Rattus norvegicus: one gene and its partners. The protein of the gene in region 5 interacts with the protein of the main gene of each other region in a pairwise test. Links are inferred from orthologs where the notes say so. Each region holds a gene or a part of one and is shown on either strand. Other genes may lie near its edges.

The links. The genes of interacting proteins can lie anywhere in the genome.
Region 1: the proteins of Ccdc33 (region 5) and Ttc19 interact in a two-hybrid assay, tested with the Homo sapiens proteins (2 studies listed by BioGRID and IntAct). The two-hybrid records come from large-scale screens. The link is inferred for Rattus norvegicus from reciprocal best matches to the Homo sapiens genes CCDC33 and TTC19.
Region 2: the proteins of Ccdc33 (region 5) and Khdrbs3 interact in a two-hybrid assay, tested with the Homo sapiens proteins (2 studies listed by BioGRID and IntAct). The link is inferred for Rattus norvegicus from reciprocal best matches to the Homo sapiens genes CCDC33 and KHDRBS3.
Region 3: the proteins of Ccdc33 (region 5) and Arih2 interact in a two-hybrid assay, tested with the Homo sapiens proteins (2 studies listed by BioGRID and IntAct). The two-hybrid records come from large-scale screens. The link is inferred for Rattus norvegicus from reciprocal best matches to the Homo sapiens genes CCDC33 and ARIH2.
Region 4: the proteins of Ccdc33 (region 5) and Bccip interact in a two-hybrid assay, tested with the Homo sapiens proteins (3 studies listed by BioGRID and IntAct). The two-hybrid records come from large-scale screens. The link is inferred for Rattus norvegicus from reciprocal best matches to the Homo sapiens genes CCDC33 and BCCIP.
Region 6: the proteins of Ccdc33 (region 5) and Abcf3 interact in a two-hybrid assay, tested with the Homo sapiens proteins (2 studies listed by BioGRID and IntAct). The two-hybrid records come from large-scale screens. The link is inferred for Rattus norvegicus from reciprocal best matches to the Homo sapiens genes CCDC33 and ABCF3.

Annotation. Positions count from the first base shown.
Region 1 is NC_086028.1:47,495,050-47,497,644, reverse strand, and holds the end of Ttc19 (tetratricopeptide repeat protein 19, mitochondrial), read right to left. Parts: intron 1,773-2,595; coding exon 1,639-1,772; 3' UTR 722-1,638; downstream 1-721. UniProt on the Homo sapiens protein: Required for the preservation of the structural and functional integrity of mitochondrial respiratory complex III by allowing the physiological turnover of the Rieske protein UQCRFS1.
Region 2 is NC_086025.1:102,813,660-102,817,563, reverse strand, and holds part of Khdrbs3 (KH domain-containing, RNA-binding, signal transduction-associated protein 3), read right to left. Parts: intron 2,812-3,904; coding exon 2,672-2,811; intron 1-2,671. UniProt on the Homo sapiens protein: RNA-binding protein that plays a role in the regulation of alternative splicing and influences mRNA splice site selection and exon inclusion. Binds preferentially to the 5'-[AU]UAAA-3' motif in vitro.
Region 3 is NC_086026.1:118,178,564-118,182,467, forward strand, and holds part of Arih2 (E3 ubiquitin-protein ligase ARIH2), read right to left. Parts: intron 3,899-3,904; coding exon 3,877-3,898; intron 2,665-3,876; coding exon 2,513-2,664; intron 2,167-2,512; coding exon 2,023-2,166; intron 1,039-2,022; coding exon 970-1,038; intron 1-969.
Region 4 is NC_086019.1:197,948,852-197,952,755, reverse strand, and holds part of Bccip (BRCA2 and CDKN1A-interacting protein), read right to left. Parts: intron 1,886-3,904; coding exon 1,796-1,885; intron 1,134-1,795; coding exon 946-1,133; intron 1-945. UniProt on the Homo sapiens protein: During interphase, required for microtubule organizing and anchoring activities. During mitosis, required for the organization and stabilization of the spindle pole.
Region 5 is NC_086026.1:67,406,691-67,410,594, reverse strand, and holds part of Ccdc33 (coiled-coil domain-containing protein 33), read left to right. Parts: intron 1-3,119; coding exon 3,120-3,283; intron 3,284-3,904.
Region 6 is NC_086029.1:93,846,375-93,850,278, forward strand, and holds part of Abcf3 (ATP-binding cassette sub-family F member 3), read right to left. Parts: intron 2,067-3,904; exon of another isoform or gene 669-2,066; coding exon 624-668; exon of another isoform or gene 547-623; coding exon 414-546; exon of another isoform or gene 339-413; intron 1-338.

The DNA of each region.
Region 1 (2,595 bases), on a different chromosome or scaffold from region 5:
TCTATTTCGTGAGAAATTTTATACTACACTTTAAATTTTCATATGCTGTGATTGTCTTACATACACTTAAGCCCTGAAAACCCTACATACATGGTATAGTTTAAAACTTTAATATGAAATTAAATGTAAATTGCTTAAAGTTGTAATCAGTAAAAGGAGATGAGTCCCTTTGTCTCACCGCCTTTTTATAACAGTGAAGTGAGTGCTGCTGGGGACACACCACAGACGCCACAGGACGTGAGGTCAATCACCGTGGAACATTGAAAAGCCCAACAAACACCTAACTTCGGTAACTTTGGAATTATAAAAAAGTAAAAACATTTTCAAAGCAAAAGGTGACTGAACTCTTATCTGGTTATTCATGGTTAGTGGGATCACATGTGGTTAGCTAGAAGTGAATGGTAGATGAGCTCAAACAGAAGATGGGGCTCTCCCCGCACAGCACAGACTCTGGTACGTCTCTGAGGATTTGGACCTTAGTATGTCCATTTAGTAACTTGGCCATTGTTTTTCTAAGATTATTAGAATACCTAAGTATTGTATAGTCTCCAGTTTATTGTGAAAACTGTCTCCTGTATAAACACATGAACCCAAAGTCCACTGGCAGTCTTACTCACACCACGCACCTCCACAGGCATGCTACCACCACCAGGCTTCCTTCATGGCACCCAGAAAAACTGTCTTTTTCTTAGGCAAAAGACCATTTGTCAGACTGCAAAGGTAAAAGCATTCATCCATGTATCTTGTATTTATATACTCTGAGGCAGTGATACAGTCGTCGGACAATCTAATTGGTTTCACACTTCACAGCTGTAAATACAGAGACTGCAAAAGAAAAAAGAGCTAAACAGGATCCAGGTAGGGGTTGCACGTTACCTTGGTGTACGCCGGTGCTGGCAGCAGTGCCTGACTCCCGTATGTGCCTGTCTTTATAAAGGAACCCTAGTGCTCGGATGGCATGGTGGGGGCTTCCTTCCTTCTGCCACCACCATTGCCAGTAGTTATATATAAACAGGTACACAGTTCAAGTGTCTCATTTCCATTTGAGAAGTGAATGCTGCCTAATGGTGGCCAACTAGAATTATCATTGCCCTTCATAGTCATTAAATCTCACAATGCTTCAATAAAATAGTGTGTAAGAACTCACCACAATCCTCATGTGTAATGACACAAGTAACTTGTTTGGCAGAGACAGATAGAGAAGAGTTAAGCATGAACCAAAATCTGATGGAAGGTATAATGACCATATCATGGGGAACTTGGCCAACTGTAGTCTACAGTTTTCTCAGACCAGCATGGACTGTACCTAAAGGCTGTTTCACCTTTAAAAACAAAAGTAGGGCCAGGCACTTGCAAGGCTGAGGGAGGAGTACTCCAAGTTGGAGGCCAACGTCAAGCATACAGCAATTTCCAGGCCAGCCTACACATAGAGATGCCCATCTCAAAGTAAAATTTAGAAACAGAAGTGGCAGTGTATAGGACTTGTCCTTCACCGAAGCTGAGTTGAAGAAAGTTGAATTTCAACAATGATTTACACCACCGATTGAGGTCCAGACAATGAAGGAACAGTTACTCCTTTGGGTTATCAGAGGTTACCTCTCTATGACAAAATGAACTTCTATAGCTTAACAACAAACATTAAGTCAAAAGTCTACTTTTTCTTGACAGCTCAGCCAATTCTTCCCTGATGTGCTGAACAGAAAACTCATCTCTTTTCAGCTCTGCTTGCTTCAGTGCTTCCTGGTAGATCTCCTTTGCTTGTGTGTATCGTTCTAAAATAACCCAAAGAGAGGGGAGAAGAAAATATGTGTTTTCACTAGGAACCACTAGTGAGGACACTGTATGATTTGCTGAATGCTTCAAATTGACATCTAGGGCTATCTGGTGTCTTGCATACATGACAGCTGGGTGAGAGAAGCTGAGCTTACAGTAGGTGTCAGATCTAAAGTACTCAGTGCTGTGGAATTACAGTGGGCTCTCCCTTGGCCAAAGATTTCACAATGGTGTTGCATGCAGTAGAGACTTATGCTCTCAGGTTTATGGGAACTTTAAGCCCTGAGTAATGTGGAATCAGAAACTGAGGTCTTATTATATTGTGGCTGCAGAACACTGCGAATTACACCTGTGAAAACATGTCTGTAAAACAAGACCAGGACCTATCATTGCATGGTAGTCTCTGCCTTCACATGGTCGTGCAGAAATATGGAAGTTTTATGAATGAAGCAAAATTGTACTTTAACACACATGCATGTTTTTTACCCTTACTTAGCCAGTTTTTTAACTTACAGCAGTGGTTCTGCACTTTCTTAATCCTGTGACCCTTTAATACAGTTCCTCAAGTTGTGGTGACCCCCAACCATAAAATTATTTTCACTGCTATTTCATAACTGTGATTTTGCTACTGTTATGAATTGTAATGTAAATATCTGTGTTTCTAGTGGTCTCAGGCAACCCTATGAAAGAGTCCTTCGGCCCCAAGGGCCTCACCTATAGGTTGAGAACCACTGACTTAGGGGTTTCTTCATTGCCATTGTCCTCCCCAAAATCATTTCACTTCAAAGCCCAGTGATGGAAACTCTCAGAATGCAATCCGTT
Region 2 (3,904 bases), on a different chromosome or scaffold from region 5:
CATATTGTGTAGCCAGTACCTAGGCTTTCTTCATCTTTTGCCATAAAGAAAATTCAAGATAAATTTGAGTCCTAACCGCTAACTGGGGACAGCTTTAAATAAAAGGTAGTAAACAAATAAATGGCAGTATACACATCTTAACCATGGTTTCCAGGAAAAGAGGAAGAGGTTTTTCTAACTGTTACACTATAGAGCAAAGAAAGTGCTTCTCTTCTTACTCTTGGTAACATCAACACTTTCATGGAAAGCGCTCTGAATTAGAAACTGTCAATGATTTAAGGGACACTGACTTCCCACGCACTGGTATTGAGTATGCTCCATTGTGACATTCTCCAGAATGGAGACTCATTCTGAGTTACTGCCTGACAATGTGGTATGCAAAAGCTATTAGATAAACAACAAAATTTATTATATATGTGAATACATATAAAAAATCCCAGGACATGTGAATTTGTGTAGACACTTTGTGTCACTGAAAAGAACACTTAGAGACTTATATTCCAGGATGGTGATACTTATTTCTACATCCACATGTGGTCCTTCATCACTAAATGATGGATAGTCCGGGACCTCGTTAGATGTAGTTGATGTAGACTTGCTTAAACTAGATGACAGAAGATACTGTACACTTAGTGTACATTGTTGTGCACGCTCTGCTTTTACAGGACAGGCAGTATAACACCTTGTTTGTAACACTGTTACCATGGTTACCGTACCACTAGACTATAGGAATTTGTTTTAGCTGCATTATATTCTAATAAAACCAATCTCACATGTTACAGGACTGCATCTCAAAGCATCTGTCTGGTGGCACAGCAGTGCCTGTTCTGGGAGGCCATTTCTTATCTGTCTGTACATGCTGCCTCCAGTCCACAAAGGAAAATCTGCATCTGTGCTGTAACAATGCTGCACAAAACACATTACTTGCCCCACATGGCAACAGGCAGCAGGACAGTCAGTATAATACCTTGTTTAATATCACTGTTACCAAGGTTACCACATCAGGCAGCAGGAAGTGGCTAGGCATAGACAGGACAAGGTGGAAGACTTTCGTAACTACCTACCGAACATACTGTTTTGCATGTGACATAGTACAAATGTGTTAGCTCCCATCGAGTGAAGACAAAACCAGTAATTGGAGTAGGCTGAGTAGTGTCAGGCTGACCACTATTCTGCTGCCTGAATCCCAGAAACCAGATTATGGGAGAAGGCCTGATGGGATGATGACAATAGGCTACCAAAACCTGCCATCCAGTTACACATCCCCTACAAGAGAGCCAGAGAGGAATGACAAGAGGAAGAGACTGTGAAGATGGACGACAGGTGATGATGGGGCCATAGATCATAAAACCCTGGCAATCTCCAGGAACAGAAGAGACAGGGGTAAGACTGACTCCTTGTCAAAACCTCATCCTTGGCTTAGTGACACTGAATTTGGACATCTAGCTTCTGGTTCTGTGAGGAACACAAACAAGCAAAAAAAAAACAAAAAAAAACAAAAAAAAACCCCCCAAAAAACAGAAAACAACAACAAAAAACTACCTGAAAGATACCAGATTTGTGACAATTAGTCATGGTGACCACAGGAAACTATAGCAAGTAAGCAATTATTCCAAGCAAGACCAAAGGTGGGCAGGAACACTCATTTGTTGAGCAGTGCAGTGCCTCACAGCTCATCCACAGACATGTTTATTAGCTCTCTTTCTCTGAAGGAACCTGGCCCTCAGGCCCCCAGGCCTGGCTTACAACAGTCACACAAATAACTGGATTAGCATACTCCGGAATTAAGTTTTATTCCACAAATGAGCTTGGAAATAGAAAATAAATACTATTATAAATTCCAACATATATTCTATCTGAAAGAGATATTTCTATATAGTTTCAAGCTTAACAGAAAAGCTTAAGTTACTAGCTAAAAATGATGTCCCTAGAACTAGAGGACAGAGGGGAAGCACTGTCCCCCCAAACAACTATATCAACAAAAAATTTCTCCACCAATTTAAAGAGCCAGCTCAATTTTTTTGGAACAATTTTTCCCCTATTATAAGCTAGTCAACAATTCAGAGACAGAAATAAAAACTTTGTGTCCGTGTGCCACTCAGGAGTTCTTCAGCAGCTTCCGGTCTGACAGTGCACACAAAGGCAGAGGCATTCATAAAGCCTCTTGTTGCCTAACACTGTACTTAGCACTGATGGGGGAAAGTTCAATATGGAGCAGTAAGTATACACAGAGGGTATACTCAGTCAGGAGACACATAAGGTATCCTCACCGTCAGTCAGTACACACAGGGTATCCTCACCGTCAGTCAGTACACACAGGGTATCCTCACAGTCAATACAAACACAAGGTATCCTCATAGGATCACATGGTATCTTCCTCTCATGATACCTATACTACTAACTGACCTAAAACCAAGCTTCATTTCAGGGAATTATTGAATCTCTACTGGGGAGGAAAACAGTATACCAAACTACTATTAGCTGGGAAGTGGTACAGGATGTATATAAGTTTAGGTTCAGTTTTTCTCACATTAAAGTCAATCCCTGACTATGAATATCAGAATAAAGGTTTATAAGACACACTGACAAATATGTCTACCTTCTGATGACAGCAACTTTCAATCTGCTGCCATGGCAAGACAACTTAAAAACAGAAAGTAATTATACCTACCTGGTTATTGCTGGTGTCGTTACACCTCTCGTACGCAAAGTTGATTTCCCTCGAACCACTGGGACATCTGCATTTTCTGAACCTCCATTCAAATAAGTTAATTCCTGGAGCTGTGCTTGCCTGATTTCATCATTATAGTCCTGCACAGAAAAGATATTGACAATAGAAAAGCACTTAGAATATAAAGCAAGCATTTTTTTTTTGAAGAAAATGAGGTTAGGAAAACAGTTAAAATAGAAAATTTATTCAAAGAAAAATGAAAATGTGTTTTTTTTTTTAAAAGAAAATCATGAGTTCCCTCCCCCAGACTAAAATTACAGGTAACCTACTGTCTCTCCTTTTTTATGCATAATTTCTACTTGCGATATCTGCAATGCTACAAGGCCACAGAGCTATGACATAGACGTGGTTATTTACAGCTCTTTTCACTCATCGCCACCAAACATTTACCTACTGACTGACAGAAAGGCCTGAGGGAGGTGATCACAGCACATGCATATCAGGGAGAGGCAGTGAACATAGTTACACGCATGCATGCCTAGCTCACCCTTTTCACAAACTCGGGGACCTCACGCCTAAGGAACAGTTCTACCCACAATGAGTGAGTGAGTCTACCCACCTCAGCTATGACAATCACGATTATTAAAATAATCCTAGCACAGATATGTTCAGAGGCCCATGTTGTAGTCAATTCTAACTTGTGCTAGGTTGACACAATGCTGTACCACAATTCTGTACACACAAGGAACGTCCAGATTTATAAATTTGATAAGTAATCGGATTCCTGAAAAATCGGGACTTTTTTCTCCACACATTAAACTCTGAAACTAGGACTCTATCCTGCTTCCTTCCTCTTTGTAATGATCCTCACAGAATAAACAGATAAAACGTTATCATCACTGCTTTGTAATAAAAAGAAACATTTATAATCAAAGAAGGAAGTATAATTTAGCTGTACAATAGCCAAAGGAGTCTCTCTAAGAGGGGCCATCTGGGGAAGGGAGATCCAGTTATCAGAGAGGTAGCCCAAAGCTCCATACAGAGGAAGATCAAAAGACTGATGGACTGATGAGTGTTAAATTCCAGAAACCAGGGACTCTAGCTAAGGCAGATAGATGGGCCACCCTGACTTTAAGACCAGCCTAGGTTTCACTGAGTTCTAGGCTAGCCTGGAACACAGGTAAGACTATCACAAAAATGAATGAATGAATGAATGAATGAATGAATGAAAGA
Region 3 (3,904 bases), about 51 Mb from region 5:
GAGAGATGGCTCAGTGGTTAAGAGCACTGACTGCTCTTCCAGAGGTCCTGAGTTCAATTCCCAGCAACCACATGGTGGCTCACAACCATCTGTAATGGGATCTGATGCCCTCCTTCTGGTGTGTCTGAACAGCTACAGTGTACTTATATATAAATTCGAGGATGCCTGGGCTAAGGTTTTTTTTTTTTTTTTGTACTTAGAAGAAAAAAATCAAATAGTAACCATACACTTGAGGAATAAAATGTTACACAAAAAGACTTTCCTCAGTCTTATTTGTGAGAGGAAAATGGAAACAATTGTCCTGTCAAATGATGACACATTAAGGTAAAACATTGTAGCATTTTTGTAAAGAAGAATTCAATCTGGTAAAAGGTGAGAGGCTTGACAACCATACATTTGTGCCTTGGTTTTTGAGAAGGATTTGCTATAGTCTAGGCTGGACAGACAACTCAATCCTGGATCACTGGAGTTATGAAGTTTGTGCCTCTGTGTTTTTCTGGTGCTGAGACTCACATATGCTCTACACAAAGCTTTACTTCGATAACATTAGTTTTAAAGGCTAGAACATGAACAACATAAATGCTATGTTTCCCAACATTTAAGGAATATATAAAAATTACTTTTATCAGCAGGAGGAACAACCATATCTAAGAACAACTAAAGGAAATAGACAACTATAACATAAGGATGTGTATGATACGGCCACTGGCTATCCAAGTGATCATAGGCTTTTTGAGTCCATTGATCTTTAAATATCAAGGTTTAAGGGATCAGGTGCATCTGGCTATTATAGCATCTGAGGTTTATTTCAGAGATGCCCAGAGCCAGAAATATCTTTTTGCAGTAAGACAGTTTTCATTGTGTTCTCCCAATGATATCAGGTCAGAACCATGTCCATCTGCAAAGTGCCTGTAAGAATGGGGCCCCTCTAAAGTTGCAGGGAACAGCAGAAAGGCAGTGATGGCTTACCAGCTTCTTCCTGGGGCCGGATTCCATGTAGTATGCATATGGATAGGTATATTGCAGGGTGTATCGACACTGGAATAAGAAAGAAAAAAGTCTTATCTTTGATTCTACTTGACCCACACATTGGGTAGCTCTTACAATTCATACCCAACCATGCAAATGATGACTCTAGACATGTGGATCTAAAAGCAACAAGGCCAGACTATGGAGATGGTGGACTACAGGAAGACAGGGAAACAGGAAACAAGACTGGCCACAGAACCACCACCCTTCATACTGACTCATAACCACCAGCTGCTCAGAACTTTTCTGTTTTTTAGTGGTCAGTAAAATCTACATCTCAATACTTATCAATTATAGACTTTCTTTTCAGTTATCCATAAATGGAACAAAGAAGAAAAAAGGCTTTAGTTTTCTCTGTTGGCAGAGACAGTTAAACAAACTGCTCAGAAGTCCTTTGGACATTGTGCTGGCTGGTTTTATGTGTGTCACCTTGACACAAGCTGGAGTTATCACAGAGAAAGGAGTCTCCCTTGAGGAAACGCCTCCATGAGACCCAGCTATATAAGGCATTCTCTCAACTACTCATCAAGGGGGGAGGACCCAGCCCATTGTGGGTGGTGCCATCCCTGGGCTGGTAGTTTTGGGTTCTATAAGAAAGCAAGCTGAGCAAGCCAGGGGAAGCAAGCCAGTAAGTAACATCCCTCCATGGCCTCTGCATCAGCTCCTGCTTCCTGACCTGCTTGAGTTCTGGTCCTGACTTCCTTTGGTGATGAACAGCAATGTAGAAGTGTACACTGAATAAACCCTTTCCTCTCCAACTTGTTACTTGGTCATGATGTTTGTGCAGGAATAGAAACCCTGACTAAGACAGACATCTAGCAAAGGGCTAAGACTTCTGGTATATTCAGCACAGGGAAATGTGGTCCTGTAGACACGCATGCAAAGCTAGTCAGGGCACCAAACTCCCCCTTCCCCCTTCTTTCAGAGATAGCCTCCCACCCTAATGTTTGCAGCCAACAGGGACTAATGGTAGAAAAGTGAGCTGGTGGATACCTTGGCCAACAGCTTGGCGGCATTCTGCAGGTACTGCCAGTCAATCCACGTTCCCAGATTGTTCATAACCCTCTCTTGAATCTTCTCGTGAATCCGCTGGTATGTTTGTGCCTCCAGCTGCAAGCTTTTGTTGTGATTTTCCCACTACAAAGCAGAGGAAGAAGGAAAAGGGTAGAGTTCCAGGAAGGTACAGAGGTCAGCAGATAAGTTTAAAACAAACACTGGCTAGTAGGCCATGTCCTCGGATTGCTCTGTCTTCTTATGGAGCACACGGGTCCTGGACATCACTCAACTAAGGGGGTACCAGGTCCTTCCCCAGCATCCTGCACAACTGAAAACCCACATCTGTAGAAGGCAATACCAAGCACGTGCAGAAGCTCCAGTCACTAACTTCCACATATGCACACAGCATCCCAGTGCTCTCACGTCGTCAACAGGCCAAGTGGAGAAAGCCAACTCTGAAAGGGCTGATGTAAGACAAGACACCTACCCTCTCAAAGTAGAACAAGTACTTCTTGAGGGCCTCCCTGGCCTGTGCTTGCTGGCTCTGGTTGACAATGTCAGGATTCTCCTTGTACCGACTACATTCATAGTACTCACTACCATGCGTCTTCCAGTCTCCTAGACACATCCAGCAGAAGTCTGCACAGAAAGGAGGGTGAAGTCATTTACCTGTACAAGACAACCACACACTCCTCCAAGGCACAGGCAGGAAAGTAGGGTGAAGAGGTAACCCCAACAGAAACTCCCAAAGTTGCCTCTTTGCAGAGGGATATACAACTCTCATTCTTGTCACAACTCACTGCTCCCCCTAATTGTTAGGACAGCCAATGGCCTATGAATTAAAAAACATACATGTTGCATGCCTTACTGTGCTGTACAAGATCACTGCTCAGCACAGTCAACACTACTGCAGGAAGCAAAACTGTGCCCAAGAGTCTCATCTGGTCATCTAGAACACAGGCTGCCTATATAAACTGCTACCTAAGCCTCACAATTCTTGCTTGTCCTAAGACCTTTATACACAAAACTGAAAATCAAATTTCTGCCTTTTTTGTGTGTGTGCATCTATGCCCCTGTACGTACATCCTATAGGACAGAGGTCAATTCTGAATGTTGTTCCTCAGGTGCTTAGTAGTCCCCCCAACCCCTCAGAGATAAGCTCTAGGCTAGCCTGGCTGGCAAGAAGTCCCAGGAATCCACCTGTCTCTGCCTTTCCAACACTGAGCACTGAGATTACAAATTGGTGCCACTACATATATACCTGCCTTTATTACCCGGGTAACAAATGGGTCATGTCACAATTATGAAATTGAGAAATTGTGTGGGAGACTATCTGAACATATCTTCAAAAAAAATTTTTTTAAAGCACTGTGGCAAAGCTATATACAGCCTTTTCCGAAAGGCAACTTAAAAAAAAAATCTCTAGTAATCCCCTTGACAGCTATCTGTCTTGGGAAAAGCCTTGACCTGAGTATGCTGGCCCAGGCCTGTGATCCACGCACTTGGGAGACACAGGTGGAGGACTGCTGCAAACCTGAGGCTGTCCGGGCCTACACAGCAGATGCTGCCCACGAAGAAAGATAAGGAAACAGTCTTGCTGGATGACTGAGGATCACGAGGTCACACCAGACGACTCAACTACATGTGTTATCAGACAGCAGTGGAATTATAACAGAATGCTCCCACCCCTCAAATCAAAAGTTGCTCTTAAGCCAGTTCCAGTGATCCCAAGTGATGGAGGTTCCCCTTTGATTCGCTGCTTTGTCTAAAGAACTCACTAAGAAGCAATGGAGACGAAAGCACAAGAAACACAGACCATGCCCCTGGACTGGAGACCAGGCCTGGACTCACCATGCTTACACTTGGAGCATTGCTGTCA
Region 4 (3,904 bases), on a different chromosome or scaffold from region 5:
ACACAGGTCACCACTGGGTTACATCTATCTGGACCCAGAAAACTGATGCAGCACCCTCTGGGCTAACTCACGCTACTGGCTGTACCCTAGGCTGCGATGAGACGGGCTTTTGCTGTAAACAGTGAATAATCTGAGTTCAGAAAGACACTTACCCACTAAGAAATAATCTCAGACTCACTCAGATTCACTGTTTTGTGCAAATTTAAAAATAAATAAGAACCTGCACTTTTTAAACAATCAATGTTTAACTGCAAATTAAGAGGCACACAGGCACGGCGCACAGCACTAGAGCATGTGACTACCCAGTTCTGACACTGCAGCAACTTCACAGACGTAGCTGGGAGAAGGGACACAGCGAGCATGCCTGTCTACACAAGGGACACAGCCAGCATGCCTGTCTACACAAGGGACACAGCTAGCATGACTGTCTACACTTCAACCCTGTGCATCAAAGCACAGGTGACACAATCCTTCCCTCACTCAATTCTCTAAACTTTGTAGTTCTATGTTTAAATGTTTTTGTAACTTCAAACTCCTGTATTCAACAACATAGGGAGGCCAAGAAGTAGGGGCAGTATTAAGGATTTGGTTTCACTAATCAAACCAGAATGTAAGAATTTGACTCTGGTTTTTTTAGTATTTGTTCAACATTTTGTTCAAATTACAGGCATGTGTGAATGTGCAAACTGTCAGTCAAATGTGAAAAGCTTGAAAATTCACCAGTTTCTCTACCACCTGAATGTTTGAAAATATTAAAATTCCTGCCACCAGTAATCAAAACTTCTCAAGGGGCCGGATGCTGGAAATGAGCAGCCCCTGCGCACTACTCCACCCCACCGTCCCCATCAGAGCTTGCTGCAGCCCAACCTACACTGCTGCAGACTCCACCTCCGATGCTACCTGAGTAAGGAATGAGCGTCTGAGGCACTGCCCAGAACTGCTTACTGAAGCTGCTGGTGCATAGGCAGAGCAATCTGTGGAGGAACGTTAATGAATCTTTCACTCAGCAGAAGGCCCACAGGCTTGCTGGTGTCATTCAAAAGCTTGTCCAGCTGTTCAACCATGCTCTGCTCACAGCTCTTCTCACAGGAGCTTAGAACCAACTCTTTAATTTGTTCAGCACATTGAGTCCCCTGGAAAGGAAAGAGAAGGCTTGCTCTCTGCCCCAAGAGCTGGGTTCCCTCCCGCTGCCTTTACATCCTAGCGCTTCTTCGGTATGACTGCTGAAGAATTCTCCGGCCATCACTACACCTAATCACCATCCCATGATTGGTGGTAAGTCGAGTTTCTAATTAACACACACTGGAACAGCACTTCTATTCCACCTCACAAAAACAGTTGGGAACTAACTGGAAAGTTCCTTTGAAAACTGAAGGTGGACTGCGGCCCGCATCTTATTCTCAGAGAATAGGCAGCTGACATAATTTTTTATTAGAACTCATTACTAAGTCAATAAAGAGATGAGAAAACGTAAGCCCATGTTAAGGTCCCACTCTCAACTTTGGAAGCTGCTGAATAAACCCTCTGTATGCACACTGTACTGGGAGCTAAGAGACTGGCTGCAGAATCTTGCAACAGAACCTGCGTCAGAACCACCATCCCAACACTAGGCACTACGATGTTACTGATCATGCCACCAGAGTAATCAGCTTTAAGCTGGTACAAATCACTCCGGTCAAGACCGCTCCACACTGAGAAGGACAGAGCAGGAAGGAGCGCTTGCCCTGACAGCATCATCTCTGACACAAAGACTGCATCCTGACCACAGATCCGAATACCACGCAGTGAAACTAACCTTTCTTTCACTTAAATTTAAAAGGCTGATGAAGCCAAAGATCTCATCTTCATCCACTTCACCATCACTGTCTTCTGAAACATCTGTTTGCTGTTTTAAGAGGAAAATACTTCAACTTTACATTATTCGGCTGGAAAGAAGTATAACACCAATTTTCCACTTTTCAAAATCAAATCTTGTTTTTCTGCGGTCGGGTACCAGAGCAGTGAGTCCCGAGTGCAGTGTGTCAACGTTCAGAACACTCTGCCTCCAGACATTCTGGATGACATCATCCTGCGCTGCACGGCTTCATACAAGATGCTTTGAGTTTCATTTTGTGAGCCAGGGCTTCACTGAGTAGTTCTGGCTGGCCTGGGGCTCCCTAGAGACAAGGCCTGTTAATCACATACAGCAACGGTCAGAACTACACAGGGAAACCCTGACTTGAAAACCAAAAGGAAAAAGAAGACTCATGTATATCTGGGTATGGTGACCCTGACCCTTGCTTTTAATCTTAAGCAGGTGGATCTCTATGAAGTCCAGGCCAGCCAGAGCTCCCCTGTCTCAAAAGAAGATTCTAAACATTTTTTTAAAACCAGAATTTCAATATATTATTAAATCTGGGTAAGGTTGATATTCATGAGCCAGCCCATTTCTTCTATCTCCAGGAGCCTCTAACACTTTATCACCTAAAATTCACATTCACACAATGCAATTCCTGACCATTACAGAAACAATTGGGTTTACATGGCAAACACATATACCACATGGGCAAAGGGAGACAGCAAGCAGCAAGGAATGACAATGGTGAACCAACTTGAACTCCCTAGCTCTGTTCTGCCTGCTCCTCCACTAGGAGACTAAACCCCTAGCCAGTTTACTAAAGCCCTTCCTTCACATGGTGCCTGTTTGCTTGTCCAGGCCATAAACTCCCTTCTCACGGCACTCTGCCCTCAGCCTGACACACAGAAAGTACTCAAGGAATCCATGTTGAATGAATGAGATGAGATGAAACTGATCCTTCCACCCCAGAGGACGATGGGGTCTACGATGGTCCGGTGCGCCCTCGAACCTAGGACAATGGGGTCTATAATGGTCTGGTGCGCCCTCGAACCTGTTACAGCTGCCTCAGCACCATGGGCTGTTAATGCTCCTCTACAGCTCTTGGCAAAATGTTTTTGTTTGCTTGTTTTTTTTGTTTGTTTTTTTTTTGTTTTTTTTGTTTTTTTGTTTTTTTGTTTTTTTTTTTTGAGACAGAGTATCTTAGTGTAGCCCTGGCTGTCCTGGAAATAGCTCCATAGACCAGGCTGGCTTCAAACTCAGAGATCTACCAGCCTCTGTCCCTAAGTGCTGGGATTAAAGGAATGGGCTACCACTGCCCAGTTGGCAAGGATGTCTTAGGTTCAACAAAACTAGGTGAGAATGAGAAGGTGGCTCAAGAACCAGCCCTGGTCTTCCACCATCTCTTTCTGAGTTGTCCTATCCTTCAGATGACCCAGCGACAGTGCCAGGAGCCATGCAGTAATGCCCCACTCCAAGCTTCCTTGGCTCACAGAACAAAGCAGGAACTGAAGGGAATCTGACCTCTGTCCAAATGGCAGGTCCACAAACCAAGCAGATGCCTGCTGCAATTCTAAGCTGTGGAACTTTTTATAATAGAACAACAGGAAACCAGAAGAATCCCAGGGGACAGGTGGCAGAGCAGTCTTGGGGCTGGGTCCTCGTTTCCTGTGACCCTACTGAACAAGTGCTTCCTTAAGTACCCCACTCCTTGTTTTTATGAACTCTTACCGCTTTCCCCTCCCGCTGCAGCCATTCCTAGCAGCTCTCTGCCATTTCTTTTGCTCAGAGAAGCATGGCTGGCATTACCAGGGTATCTGTCCTTTGCTCTCCCATGACAATTCCGATGACGTCTGATATCAGTGACTGACATTTGAGTGACTCCAGCTGCTGCTCAGCATCCCGCACTCCAGACGCCGAGTGCGCACCCATAATTCACTCATCAGCCCTACCTACCTACCTTCTATGTGTGCCAACCTCAGCGCTCTAGCAAACTTGTTAGTCAACCTTGACCTACCCCCCACATCCCTAAGGGACCCAGTACACTACACTGTGCCTTATTTCACCTCC
Region 5 (3,904 bases):
TGCCCAAATGGCACATCGGAGTCACCAGACCCTCTCAGCCCAACATCCCTCTGGAAGACTCAATGTGGCCTCCTCTAGCTGGTATGTTTTCAGATGTGGACCCTTCTAGAGGAGAGATCTGGGCTTCATAGCTTCCTGTTGCTTCCCGGGTTTCTGGGAAGAGGGAATAGAATGGGAGAAGAGTCTGGTTTCATCCTGGTCTCTGCCAGAAGCCCACTCCCTGTACCTCCCTCTCCACCCCCACCTCTGTGAGCCTTGGCTTGTCTGCTGCTCCTCCCTTCCTGCTCTCATGCTCCCTCACACATCCAATGCTGACCCAAGCAAAGAACATTCTGGGATTCCCAAGGACACCATGATGCGCTGAGATCAGCAGTTTTCAAGCCTGCCTAGAGCCCAAATCCTAAGGGGTGGCCAAAGGAACTCTGCTTGGAAATGGGCAGGCTTTGAGCTTACCACTAGCCTGCTGTCTACAGTCATTGCATGGGTGAGCAAGAGCAGGGCCTGAGAGCTGTGGTGAGCATAGAGCTCTGCTTTCATGGAAGAAGATTCTGAAGCTTCTCTGCCCAGGGTCAGCACCTTCACTCAGTTTTCTCCTCACCTTGTTTTCTGTTTTGTTGTTGTTGTTGTTGTTGTTGCTGTTGTTGTTGCTGTTGTTGTTGTTGTTGTGTTAAGATTTATTTATTGTATGTATGTGAGTACACTGTAGCTGCCGCTTTCATGCACACCAGAAGAGGGCATCAGATCCCATTACAGATGGTTGTGAGCCACCATGTGGTTGCTGGGAATTGAACTCAGGACTTCTGGAAGAGCAGTCAGTGCTCTTAACCACTGAGCCATCTGTCCAGCCCCAGCTCCTCTCCTCACCTTGTAACCTAGTATACGTAGGTATAGGTGTCGGCATCGGTAGATACATATCCTATTCCTTCACAAATTCTTCCATGTGACCAGGGGCAGAGGCAGCAGAACACATTGGTCCTGATGCAGGGACCCACGAGCAAGGACAGAGGCAAAGGTGCCCTGGCTCACTGCCTGTCCCCTCTACAACCCACACCTTGGACCCCCACCCAGTACATCCATGGGGTACATGCCTACAGGCTTCAAGAGGTACCTGACTAACAGCTGGCCTCAAGCACACAAGTGAAGCACAAGTGTCCCTACCCAACTCTCTCCAAGCTATGTTTCCTGGAAATCTGTCCTGAAAGGGAGGAGACGGGGAAGGAAGAGATCCAATCGGAGGACCTGGCAGAGGCCTGGTGGCCTCCAGAGCTGCCAAGGAGGCAGGGAAGCCCATAGACAACGATCATGCTAAGGGACCTTCGCTTCTGTAACCCCCGCCCCCCCTAGAGTGCCACGGTAGGCTTGCGCCCTCGCAGTGGCAAGGGTGTCCATCTGGCAGTACAAGGGACATCAGTTACCTCTCCTAGTCTAACTTCAGAGAACTTTAGTCACACCAAGTCCTGGAAAAGCTGAATCAGAAATCATTCTAGATGCTCCCACCGGAGTGCAGGGAAACGGCTCTGTGCCGGCGCATCTCAGAAGGGACAGAGGAGCCTCCTGGCTTGTCAGCTGCTGTCACTCCTGTACCAGAACAGGAAAACAAACCTGCTAGGCGACCTCTGGTTATGTGGGCTAGTACACTAGAAGAAGTCCTCTGATCTAGGAGAGGCATTGGTCTGTGAATGCTCCCCTCCTCCACTAGCAGGGCTCCCCCCTCCCTTCCCCCTACCCTTGCCATGTGTGTGTGTGGGGGGGGGAGTTAACTCTCATCAACACCTCTGCAGATGGTGACAGGCCCTGCTGGGTCCTGTTGGGGGAGGGAGCAGGTTTAATCCTCAGTCATAGGAAGGGGAGAAGTCTCTACAGAGCTGGCACATCTAGGGCTGGGAAGCCCTGTTCTCACCTCCTAATGAGACAACTTGTTAGGCAGGGACCACAGTCTGCAGCACGTGAGGGATGGGTCAGGGGATGTGGAGTTTGAAATCTTTTGGAAATTTCTGCCCAGGTGATGAAAATACCAGACAAAGGCTGAGGTGGGGAAGGGCTGCTAGGACGATTAAGGGAGCCTGGCTTCTGCTGCGCTCACCATGCAGTACAATGGTCCTGAGAATCTGAATGAAGTAGCATTCCTAGATGTACCTGGGCTAAGCCATGCTGCCTTCTCTTCCCATGCTAGGAGTCAGGAGGGCGGGGCAGAGTGGTGCATCATGTCAGGTCCCAGTCCCCATATGTGAGATGACAGAGGTGGTCTAAGGTAAAGATATAGGAAAGAAGAAAGGTAGAGGTCACTAGGACCTGAGGAGCATGTGGCACGGAGGAGTTACAGAGGTAAAAGCAGGAGCAGAAACCGGAGGACAGACAGATTGCTTACAAACTAAGGTGGGCTGACTTCTGCTGCACACGGGGGCACACCAAAGGCTAAGGAAGAAGCAAGAGGTAGAGAGAAGTACAGAAGTAGAGAGAAAATGGCTTCCTAGGCTACTGTTCTGTAGTTGGGGGAGCAGGTAATGTTACAGAGAGGAAAAGGTACTGGTCAGTCGGGCCTATCCAGCCACTAGCCCTGGGCCACATCCAGACTCCTGCAGGCAAGACTGTCTGTGAACACAGCTAAACACAAAGTCATAGGCTTATCTGAAATGTAAACCTTGTATTTTCCAATCATATCATTTTTATTTTATTTACTATTATTGTATACGTGTGGGTGAGTGCAAGAGCGTGCGTGCCACGGCGTGCGTGTGGAGACCAGAGAAAACATTTTTAGAAGTATTAACTTCCCACCATGGGTTCCCACAATCCAATTCTCGCCATCAGGCTCACACAGCAAAGGTTGAGCTAACTCACTGACACGTCTGTAGTTTTGTAACAAGGTCTCGTGTAGCCCAGGCTGGCCTCAAACCGGAGGAGCCAAAGATGACCCTGAACTTCTGGTCCTTCCAATGCTCCTGCCTCTTGAGGGCTGGTGTGCACCACCACACCAGTTTTTATGAAATTTCTTCATGATTTCTGTTTTGTTTTGTAAATTATACCATGGAAAGTTTTGACCCACCTGGTAGAAGTTACCAGTAACAGTAAAGAGAAATACTCCATCAAAAGAGTCCACTTAGCCCTGGCTTTCCCCACAGGTTCCTGAAGAACCACAGGACCGCCTGGATACCTCTCTGGACCCATATCCTGACACCAACTACCTGGCTCCCTGTAATAAGGAGACTGTCATGGTCACTCTGTATGGAGCTACCAACCTTCCTACCTGCAAGGATAGCTCTGAACCGTGGCCCTACGTGGTGGTGTAAGTAGCTGGGAAAACTGAGGTAGGACTGGGTCTGGGTCTGCAAACAGAAACCATCTGATGAATATTTGGAAAGTGAGCTCCTGTGCAAATGAGAGACCTGTCTTGTCCCTGGCTGTGTGGTAACCCATGCCAGGACTGAGCTCCGCCTGACCTCACAGGGGCAAGCCCTTGTCTGTAGTGCCTAGGCTGTGTTCAGTGTGGGATGGGGATGGTCTAGGGGAATGTTACCAGCCTGGGCATTTGAAGTCTGTCCCCAGAGGGTGGGGGAGCAACTAGGGACAGATAGTTAGAAAGAGAAACAGCACTCAGAAGAATTGGTGAAGGCTAGAAAAGCAAACAGAAAAACTCGGAGGTGCTAATTACCCTTCTACTGGTCATTTCCATCCCACTGAGTATAGACCACCCCTGGCTTTCCCCCTGGAATGCTCTGAAACGTGAGCCTGGGTAGGGAAGGACTTCTGGTCTTTCTCTGCAAACTGGCCTTCTGCCTACTTTAATCTACGTGCAGCTTTCTCGAGTCCTCACTCTCCTGTTGCAGAAAGACTTGAGGTCTGCCTTCCTGGCTTTTGGGACCCTAAGAGGCCTCGCTGCTCGAAGCTACCCTCCTGTGGGTCCTTG
Region 6 (3,904 bases), on a different chromosome or scaffold from region 5:
GAATCTGTCCCTCTAATTTGGCAGAAGGTACTTTTTACTTGCTATCTCCCCAGCCTTTACCTCCTTTCTGAGGAAAAGGAAATCTCCCTAAAACCAAGCTTAAAAACCCCGTGAGCTTTATAGCCTATGTTTTTGCTTTAATCTCTCATGACTGTCACAATTCAGAACCAGAAACAGTTAAGAGTTTGAACATATAGAGTAAATCACTGCTTGCTCTATATATTTACGAAGTGCCACATGCCAGGTATGAGACCACAGAGAACGCAGCGATGGGAGTGTGAGTGCCTGTGTCTAGGCCCCGCCCATTTCTCTTTGTACTCTTGCTTCTACTGTGTCAGGATTGGCCCAATGCACGCCTGTTCGGGAAGACAACTCCCAGGACACTCAACAGAAGAGGAGAAGAGCGACCATACCACGCAGATGCGGGACTCGAGATCGGCAGAGACAGACAGGCGGCTGAAGATGATGTGCTTAGGGTCGTAGTAGAAATCCACCTCATCCAGCTGCAGGATTGGCGGTGAGAACTTCTCAAAGCCATCAGGGAACCTATAGGAGGTGCAAGGGTGGAGTGTGCAGGCAGCCAGAAATGCCAGCTCCCCTCAGCTCCCCGGCTTAGCACTCACTTCAACACCACCTCCGACTCCTTGTCCACCGGCTTTAGTTCAGGTCTGAGAGGAGAGACGGAGAAAGGATTATTTTAACAAGACATCAAAGCAGAAAGGAGAATACTTGGGTAGAGAAGAAGGGAGACAGGAAGATGAGGGGGAAGGGTCAAGATGTATGGAACTAAAATGTATGGAGAAAACTAAAAGATGTATAGAAAAGACACAAGGAAGCCTGATACTTAGTAAGCTAATTTAAAAAATAAAGTTTGAGCTGGGCAGTGGCAGTTCACACCTTTAACCCAGTACTCAGGAAGCAGAGGGATCTCTGGGTTCAAGGTCATCCTGGACTAAAGACTGAATCCAGGGCTATCAGAAAAAGAAAAAGAAAAAGAAAAAGAAAAAGAAAAAGAAAAAAGCATCAGCAGAAGCACCCTGTGCGTGTGGTGGCTACAACTGCTCCAAGAACCTACGGGTTATAAGGGAAAGTCCCAGTGCCAGGGCTGGGCTACCTCCCTACAAGGTAATGGTCAGGAAATACCGGCAAGAGTTAGCTTAGAGAACAAAGTGTCCAGGACCATATTTCTCTCTGTCTCTACATGCGCGTGAGTGCGCACACACACACACCACACACACATACACACACACACTCAGGTTATGGCACAGAGAAAGCTAGACAGAACTGAGATGTAGCTCCTGCTAGCCAGCCCTGGTGCTGGGAGGTGCTCAGCAGGCTGCTGGGGGGAGAATGGCCACCAACAGTCTGCCTGAGCCATGGATTTGTATGCTACAGCACTGTCTAGTCTGGCCGGGTGTGCCCACCTGCAAGTCTATTACGGGATAATCAACTGCTGAGGCCTGCTCCACAGGAGGGACTTGCATGTGTACTGTAAGTCAGGCCCCAGCAGAGGTTAGAGCTGTTTGTTAAGTCATCACCACGTGACCACCAACTGCCTTCTAAATAACTACGTTTATCCCCACAGGTTGGTCAGCTGCACTCTGAGGAGCAGTAACTGCAGAGACTCCTAACTTGTCAAAGTGCTGGTGACGAGTGACTACTGAGTGCAGTCACAAACAGGATGTAGCATTGCCTCAAGGGCTCAGGGAATGTGGCAGAGACGGCAGAAGGAACTAGAGCTAGAGCGTGGGCTGGAGTGTTCTGAACAGTCCTCTGTGCATGACCTGGCCATGGCGCTCACTCAGAGCTGCCGGGGTTATTACACTGGATCTGCATGGGACGGGGCCTGTCCTGAAGGGCTGAGCTCATGAGCTCCTCCTACCAGTTTATAGGCAAGTAGCGGTTGCTAGGGAGGGAGAGACATTTTCCTCAGTAGTGTAGCCACTAGCGATCTTCTGCAAATAACACCTTACCCATACTCTTGTAAGAAATCCTAATGAAGTTAACATCATGACAAAGTCCATCACACACACACACACACACACACACACACACACACACACACACTAATAAAATCAGTAAAACAATTAACTTTACATTGAATGTGATAACATAATCCACAATTCTACCACTTAGGAGGCTGAAGCCAGCCTACATAAATGTTTTGTGTTATGTAGGGAGACCCTGACTCAACAAAATGACAAAAATTAACAAGACTTAAAAAAAATCTGTTCCTCTTACACAAGTAAATGCTCGGAGAAAACTCAGACTTGCGTGTCCCTCATCTGGTGATACTCGATATATTCTTCTGCTACACTATCTGTTAAGAAAGAATCATCTTTTTTGCAGCTAAACAAAACAAAACAAAGAACCATAATCTTGGGCTAGAGAGATGGCTCTGTGGTTAAGAACACTGGCCAATCTTCCAAAGGACCCAGGTTCAACTTCCAGCACCCACACGACAGCTCACAGCTGTCTGTAACTCCAGCTCCCAGGATCTGACACCCACGCAGACAGACATGCAGGCAAAACACCAACCATAAATAAATAAATTCCTATGCAAATGTAAGCTGGGTGTGGTGGTGCGTGCTTTCACTGCTCACGCCTGGGGCAGAAGTAGGCAGACCGCCAGAGTTCAAGTCCAACAGGCTTTACACAGCAAGCGCTGGACTACCGAAGACTATATATGGAGAGTGTGCAGTTCCCAATAAAACATTATAAAAATGGTAAGTAATAAAAACAAAAATACATGTAAATTTAAAAACTCTTTTCATTTATATGTGTATGGGTGTCCTGCATGTTTGTGTGTGTGTGACCACATGTATGCAGTGCGCGTGAGGTCAGAACAGGGTGTCAGTCCCTTTGCACGGGAATTACAGACAGCTGTGAAATGCCCTGTGGGTGCTGGGGACCAGAGCCAGCTCTTCAGCAGAGCAGCTTTCTCTGACTGCTGGGACAGCCCTTCCATGGTACAACAGCTGTAATGGCATCTATTTGCCCAGTGTGGTAACACACACCTTTAACGTAGCACTTGGGAGGCAAAGCAAATGGATCTCTATGAGTTTGAAACCAGTTTGATCTACACAGAAAATTCTGGTCAGCTAGGGCTATTGGTGAGACTGCCTCAAAACAAAAAACCAGAAAATGTTACATTTATGTTTTCTACGTGTCTGCCTGTGTGTGCACATGTGGAGGTCAGAGGACAACATGCAGGAGCTGGTTCCCCTCTTCCTCCATGAGTCCTGGGGGTGAAATTTGGACCGTTAGGTTTGCTGGCAGGCCTCCTGTCTGAATGGTTTCCCAATTTTAAAAAAAAAAAAATCCCATCTTTCAACAGATTTTTAAAAACTGTTAAGCTTGTGTTATTAACTGCGTGTTGTACATGTGCTGACTTACTGCATTGCCTGAGCTGGCCTTGAACTTGAAATCCTTGGAGTTTAGTCTTCCCTAGTGTGGAGATGACAGGTCTGAGGCCCCAGCCCCAGCTGCCAGTCTTTTCTGGGGAGCTTTTGCCCTTCACATACAGTGACCAATGCTTCCGTGTCAGAGTAGGAAGCCTTGAATTTAATCTCTCTCCCAGGGCTTCTAGAGCGATTCCTCTGAGAGTAAACCTTCACTGAGACACTTCATTAGTCACGGGACTGTTTATCAGGACTATGACCAGGTGTTGCTTTTCATCACCAGGACAGCAGAGACTGCAAGAGTTAACAAGTGCTGGCACAGACACGGAAAATGTCAGTTCCCACAGGCATATAAAACAATGTGTCTGTTTAAAACAGTCTGGCAAGCCAAAGGTAGTGATGTCAGCATGTGGGAAGCAGGCACACCTGGCACTCAAGGCTAGCCTGGGCTACAAAGTGAGGGATTGTCTCAACCTAAAAACAAAATGACTGGTCTGGACTCG